Linked DNA regions of Coturnix japonica. The protein of the gene in region 1 purifies or fractionates together with the protein of each later gene. This does not show direct contact. Links are inferred from orthologs where the notes say so. Each region holds a gene or a part of one and is shown in the gene's direction. Other genes may lie near its edges.

Region 1 (3,751 bases):
CTGTGGCCCCATTGCAGCTGCACCTCGGCCATCAGCGGGGACACGGCGTACTCACACTGCGGTTGTGCAACCCCAGCCCTTCGCCTCCATAAACACCCGGCTGCTGCAGCACAGGGCTGAGCTCACACCATGGCACAGCTCAGCCCCCAGCCTGGGCTGGGACACAAAGTGGGGAGCTCACAGGGAAGAAGGGGAGGGGTGCAAGGGGGGCACCACCCAACAAACTGCTTTGCATACCTAAAAGGGGCAAGGGGCTCAGTTTGGTGTCTCCATTGCTGCAGGAAGGACTCAGGGAGCAACGGTGTGCTGGGCTCAGAGGTGTTGCGGTTTGCAGGAGGGAGGGAGCAGGGGATGAGCTCCTCTCCCTCTCCCTCTCCCTCTCCTCTCCTTTTTCCTTCCCCTTCCCCTTTTTCCTTTTTCCTACCTTTGGGCAGAAGGCTTTGCCCTCACACTGTACATGGTGTGGGAGCACATCCCCAGGTTGTCACCCCAAGGGTACCCAGGTGTCAGCATGCCCAGCTATCACTTGGGGTGCCCAAGCTCAAGGCTTCACCCTGATCCCTGTCCCCACCAGGGACAGCCATATGCCAGAAGGATGACTGACGAGGGACAAGCAGTGCCCTGGCAGCTGTGCGGAGCCTTCAGAGATTATTCCTGGAATTTTGCTCCAGAGGAGCAGATTTCCTCCTGGGATGGGGCAGGCACTGGGGGGGAGTGGGAGGGAGCAACACACCCAGCACCAGGGCTTTGCACCCAAACCATGCAAGACTTCCCCCTGTTGCAGTGCCACGCTGCAGCACGTCCCCACTCTTCCTATGCCCACGGCTGTCTCCTGTGGGCCCCAATCCTGCCATCACCTCCCTGCGCCCCATGTCACTGCTGGGGGCTGCAGCTCCGCTCCCAGCCCAGCGCAGCGGGATCTTGCGTAACGCTGTGCTACAACACCCAGGCACTGCGGGCGGGTGAGGCGAGGACAGGGCTGCACCGTGCATTTCCTGGCATGGGGAAGTTGACGTCAGCTCGTGCTCTTCTAACATCGAATTTCCTTACAAACACCAATTGCAAAGTTGGGCTGGGGGAGGACTGAGCCCCCCCACGCCGCGCTGCTGCTACAGCCGCTGGAAGGGCTCTGGTACAGACACCCCGGTGCCCTGCTCCAATGCAAAGTCTCGTACACGTTTAGTTTTCTCTGCACGTGAACAAATGGAGCGCCGCAGTCACGCGCAGCCCAACGCAGCCCCCACAGCTGCAGCTTTGTAGGATGTTGGCTTCAGCGCGGGATCCTGCACGAGGTGCAGCTGTGTCAGTGATGCCCCACACACTCACACTCACACTCACACTCACACTCACACTCACACTCACACTCACACTCACACTCACACTCACTACCTGGTGGAGAGAAACGCAGTGATTGGAAACGTCTCGGAGCAGGAGCCGGGATCAGCGGGTCACACCGCGGGGCGGGGAAAAGCTCTGATTTGCATACCGCCTCCACTCCGGCCAATGAGAAAGCGTTGCGGGCGGTGTGGAGCAGACGGGCGGACGAAGCTACCAATGGGAGATGGGGAGAGGGGCGGGGCGAAGCGACGGGGAAACCCGGCCGGCGCGGGCGCGCGATGCCACTTCGGAGCCGAGCGGTGGCGGAGCGCGGGCGGCAGCAGGTGGGGCTGGGATGGGGGTGATGGGAGCAGCATCACGCGTGGGGCCGGGATGGGGGTGATGGGAGCAGCATCACGCGTGGGGCCGAGCCGTGTCGGTTGTGGAGTGTGGAGAGGGGGGAACGGAGCGTTACGCCCACGGAGGGGGCGAGGGAGGGACTGAGGTCCGTAGCGCTGCGCCTTTGGGTGCGCTCCGCTCGTGCCCACGGAGCAGCGCATCCCTCGCGGCAGAACCGGAGTCGGACTGAGATCGAGTTTGAGATTAGGATCGGGATTGGGGTTCGTCTGGCGACTGGGACCGGGATTAGGATTGCGATTGGGGCTGGAATCAGGATTGGGATTAGGATCGGTATTAAGATTGGGACCAGGATTACAGTTGGGATGAGGACCGAGGCCCGTCGGTACTGCAGTGTCCAAAGAGGGGATTTATTCTCAGTCAGAAAATGAGGCTGCTGCGCGGTGAGGATTTAATGAGTTTCCTAATGGCATTGACCAAAAATACCCCCGAGTGCAGGCAGCAACGTGCAGTTTTATTCAGGGCAGGTGCAGCAGCGTGGACAAAGTAAATGGGGCGTCTGGTTCAGATCCCACTGTTTCCTCTGCCTGTAGTGGTGTGGGTCTCCCAAATCATCTGGATTTTGTGTTTGTTTTTTCACCCAACCCACACCTGGCAGGATGTGCTGCTGTCACCCCAGCTGTCCCCTGGCTGTTCTGACCTATGGGAGTTACAAACTGTAAGGGGTAACCCAGGGTTGAGCCAAGTCAGTGTCCCCGTGGTGCTGTGGCAGGGGATGCCGTGTGAGTCCTGGACCCCATCGTGTGACATTACACTGCCTTGGTGGGCCAGGATGTGGGAGAAAGCAGGGAGAAAATAGAGTGGGAGTAGAAGATATGGGGTGGGAGGAGGAAATATGGGGCAGGAGGAGGAATGTAGGTTTCTGTGGAGGTGCTGGAGATAGTGATAGCTGCTGGAACCCTGGGAGGGAAAAGTGCACCCGATGGTGAGATAGTAGGGAGTGGCTCTGGATGCAGCCATGGGGTGAGCCTGGAGGTGGTGCTGGAAGAAGCCTCTGTGATGGCTGTGGTTTGGCTCCAGAGGTGGCCATGGGGCAGCCATAACAGGGCCCTGGAGGTGGCCACACATGGGACCCGGTGCTGGGGAACCCGCAGGACACGGGCTGCATGTTCCCGTGAGGTCCCCTCCCCTTGGGACGAGGAGGGACTGGGGTCAGTTCCCTGTGAGCAGGGGGAGAGCAGCACCCGAGATTTCTAGACAGCAGACCCCAAACCACCCTGCTGAGAACGCCCCTGTGCAATTAGGTGGGTTTTAATTGCAGCCAAGCAAAGGAGAAGGCTCACTAGGAAGCTTGGAGGTGCTCCACCTGGACACCCGGGCCTGCCCACCTTTGTTAGTTCCTCAAGGATAATTAGCTGCTAGATGAGCCCAGGGAGAGGCGGTCTCAAGTTTGGCCAATGCTTCCACCCCATTGTTCGGTGCTGATAAAGGCTTTGCTGAGCTCTGAGCTGTGCCACTGCTTCTCGGCTAGTCACTTTCTATGCTAGTTACCACGGGAGTCTGTGTGCTGCAAGGAGGTGGGGAGATGCATTCCAAAAGCATCCCTGGGCACCTGCATAGCGCCTTGTGTCAATCTTTAACCCCCAGCACAGGGAGAACACCGGGAAACACTGCCCAGATAGGAGCAGACCTGCTTAGGAGCTGCAGAAATTGGGGGTAAGGTGCTGCTAGTGGTGTGTTCTGCAAAGTGGGGAATCTCCGGAGCTCTGTGAAGGAGCTGCTCGCAAACAGTAGTGCTGCTTGTGGAGAATTGCCCTAATTAAAGGTATTCCCACTTCAAGGAGTTTTTAAAATTTACGTTAGTTGCTTAATTAAATCAAACTAGCCCTTGGCAGTGTTGTCTTGGTTGCCAATAACAGTGTTTCTGGCTGTCAGCGCAGTGTGCACTGTTGGTGTGTGCATCACTGGTTTGTGCATACTGGTGTGTGGTTGCACACGTGGTTGTGCACACGTGGGGTATGCATTTGTATGCATAAGTGGCTGTGCACATTGTGCATGCACGTGTAGTTGTGCACAT
Region 2 (3,651 bases), on another chromosome or scaffold:
AATCACTTTACTGTACTAACAATGTAAGAAAAATACCAGTTCAGTGGGAGGGAAGAAGACTGCCTAGAGCCACTCAGCCAAGAAAGGACAGCCTGTCTTTTCAGTCATGAAGCTGATTTGGTATTTCTTTTTGCTACAAATAACTATTAAGTATTTCTTTTATGGGACTGCAGTTTCAAGTAGATTTGACTGATGTAAAAAACAGTCCCTCCTTTACTCACTAATTTTTCCTGGACATAACTCTAAGGTACAAGTGTGAGTCTAATAACAAGCTAATGTTCAGTTTCTAAAGTAAGGTAAAAGATACTTCAGCAGACCTTGCTTCTAAGATGGAAGTATTTCTTTCTAATATGGGAGGTAAGCTTAAGTTGCTATAGATATAGTTCAAGGTGTATAAAATTCTAAAAGAAACACATCAGTTTGTTTTTCACTTTTGTAAATAGTTGCAATCAATGCACAATTAGTCTTAAGAATATTAGAAATAAAATATAAATAACCAAATACAATAAAAACAAAGTAGATGCTAGGAGAAAGTATGTACAAAATGTTTGAACTGTTATTAAGCTTAAACAGATAACTATGGGAGTTTAAAGATAAATGAAGTAAATCAGTTGAACTGTTAGCCACTGAAATTATTTACTGACTGGAAAATGATGGCTGCTCGTCTAATGTTGATCATATTGTCCTGAAGCACAGTTCATAGCACTGTACCAATTTGCATAAGGATGACTGCTTCTGTTACTACTTCTATAAGCTTTTGTTTTGTATTAACTATATATACTTCACAAGAGCTGTTTAAATGTTAACAAGGATTTTAAAAACAAGATTAAGTCTGAGGGGAAAAATATTTTGCTGATCTTCTGGCTAGTTTGATGTGAATGACTAATTTTTTACTCTCTACTGGCCTTTTCAGATGAAATTATTGAAACAAAGTCTGGGACTGCAACTCCACAGAGATCAGGTTCTGTGAGCAACTACAGATCATGTCAGAAAGACTCAGATGGTGATGCACAAGGAAAATCTGCAGATACGTCGCTTACCTCATCAATGACCTCTTCACTTGATTCTTCGACAGCTGACTTAACTCCAAGACCTGGCAGTCATACAATAGAATTTTTTGAGATGTGTGCAAATCTTATTAAAATACTTGCACAATAACTTTGAAGGTGGGCTTATTTCTTTTACAGCAATAAGCATGCATAAATTGTAGTCAGATGCTTCCAGTTGTAATCAATTTAAATTAAGGCGCTGAAAAAACTAGCTGCAAAATGCAATTTACCTGGGGATTTAAATCATTATGAATTAGGTATATTGCTTTGAAGCTGGAGTGAATTTTGATTTTCTGCTATCCAGTAGCTTAATACAGGTACAGGAAGTCACATGCCCCTTGGCAGTGCTTGTAACATTTTCATTGAGTGCACGTTAGTATTTATATAACATTTACATTACATGGTCCTTTTTGTCCTTCTTGTTGGTGATGCATACCTCTGGAGCACTGTAAGAAAATGTGCGCTTACAAGTTCATTGACCTAAGTATGACTTGTTGGTCACTGTCTACGTTTGTGCCTCAGTTGATCAGAACAGTTAATGTCTCCTAACAGTAAAGTGTTAAAACTGCTGTTCCTTCCCCCTTTATTCAGCAGTAAATGAGATTTTTAAACAAAGTCTGATGTGCTGTAATATGCCATTCAATAGTTGATGCACTTGAGTAAATGTTGGCAAATCCAACCAATTGGAATTTTCAGTACGTGTAAGTGCTCTGCAGCACAGTTACGAGTACAGTTCTCTGGGGATTAAGTAGAACAGTTGAAGCCACAGCAGTGCCAAGAGAGACAATGCTGAGAAGACACGCCATGCAATGGCCTGAAACAGATCACTGCTCTAAAGCACTGTGAGCAAGCTCCTGATCTGTGCAGGTTTGCTAGCTCGTACCATAGTGTAGTAGCAGCACAGCTACTGGCAGGCTGAGAATCCTTAGAAGTAAATGCATGTAGTTAAGAGCACAGCCTAGGGGTTGTTGCATGTTATTCTGCAATCTGAAATTGACACGCTTTAAAGAAAAAAAAAAGTTAATACTTAGATATGTTTGCTTACATCACATGTTAACTTACTATATGCTATGTAGAATTCACATTGCAGTTGAAACTTATCGATAGGCTTAGTTTTTCCGGACTACCCTCAAACAAATTTTACTACTTAAATTGTGGAAATTAATAGTGCTGTTTTTCCATTGAATGTTTAAAGCTGAATATGACAACTAAAGTGTTAATGGTTAGGAGGTTTTGAAATGTAGATTGCAGTCACAGATAACAGTAGTTGTAACTGCAGAAGAAATGTTTTAAGAAGATGACCTTAAATGCTGAATCAGATATATTTGCTGAAAAATGCTAAATATCTTGTAAGTTGGATGTACGTACCCACAGTTCCATTTTCATCTAGCACTGATGGATGTAAATGCTAATCAGTAAATTGCCATAAACCATTTTAATTTCTTATTAGGGGATTTTTCTTTTTGAGATAGACTACATGGCTTTAAAAGATTGCTCTCCCATTTAGAAACTGGAAATCAAGGCATTAATATAAACAGTGTAACCTGGACTTTGTTAGGATGGATGGGACTTCTAGCCAGTGATGAGTCTAAGATCCCATCCCTGACACGCTGCTAACCTCAGATGACAAGAACAGTGTAATGCAGTCCAGTTGGCTTCAGTCCAGAAATTCCTCTGTTACAAATTTGAAGAAATTTAGATATGCTTAAGCCTCAGAAGTGCTGTAGCTCTTCTCAACTGGGCAATTGTGTGTCCTGTCTTGTATGTAGGTACAGCTTCAGTTTCTTGTCCTCAAGTAGTGTCTCGCACGGTCCCTGTAGTGCAAGGTTATATTTTGAATAGCATATATGTAGCTCAGAGTGGAAGGGTTCTCCTAGGGAAAAACTATTGTGTTTGAACTATTGAGACTGAGATGACAGTATGTGGGACCAGCTATCAATCATACTTTTAAGTCCTTTCTTCAGTCATGTAAGGAAAGGTTCTGATGTTCTGAATAAATAGGTGTGCTCATTTTGTTATCCTTTTATTTTGAAACCTAAATATTGCACTTGTACAAATGTAACAAACGCACAGATTTTTTTATTGCAGTAATTCCTTATCTGGAGTTTGTTTGGGATCACTAAAACTGCCTCTTGCATATGTTTAACTAAATATTTACTAATGGTATCTGCTCCTGGTGAAAAGGTGCGAGCAGCTCTTAATTACATACACTTCTTTTGGCCCTTCTGTGCATTATGGCAGCCGCGGATTTTACTTTGTTCTCTTGTCTGAATTTTGTTGGCACGATGCAACAGTTTTGATGGCCAAAAGTTTTGTGATAGAACCGAGGGGATTTTATAATACAGGTTTGGGGAGTGGGGAAGGGGACTGACATCCTATTTTGAATCCGGTGCAGTTGTCTGTTGTGTCACTTTCTTACGCTTTGTAGATCTTTATTCTGGAGCTGCTTTCTTCAGATGTTCCTACTGAGCTTGGAGATCTTCTTTTGCATCCCGTCAGGCTGTGAGACTGAACCTCACTGAGGAAAACAGCAGGAGTGTGAGGATGTAATTGATGTGAATACGTGAATTGGTCAAGTATGTTACTCTGCAATCCAAGCACA

The links. The genes of interacting proteins can lie anywhere in the genome.
Region 2: the proteins of FKBP5 (region 1) and PRKAA1 purify together in Homo sapiens (affinity purification with mass spectrometry; 3 studies listed by BioGRID and IntAct, with this or other methods). This does not show direct contact. The link is inferred for Coturnix japonica from reciprocal best matches to the Homo sapiens genes FKBP5 and PRKAA1.

What each region holds. Positions count from the first base shown.
Region 1 is NC_029541.1:464,052-467,802, reverse strand, and holds the start of FKBP5 (peptidyl-prolyl cis-trans isomerase FKBP5), read left to right. Parts: upstream 1-1,555; 5' UTR 1,556-1,616; coding exon 1,617-1,661; intron 1,662-3,321; exon of another isoform or gene 3,322-3,499; intron 3,500-3,751. UniProt on the Homo sapiens protein: Immunophilin protein with PPIase and co-chaperone activities. Component of unligated steroid receptors heterocomplexes through interaction with heat-shock protein 90 (HSP90).
Region 2 is NC_029547.1:11,799,347-11,802,997, reverse strand, and holds part of PRKAA1 (5'-AMP-activated protein kinase catalytic subunit alpha-1), read left to right. Parts: intron 1-913; coding exon 914-1,158; 3' UTR 1,159-3,651. UniProt on the Homo sapiens protein: Catalytic subunit of AMP-activated protein kinase (AMPK), an energy sensor protein kinase that plays a key role in regulating cellular energy metabolism.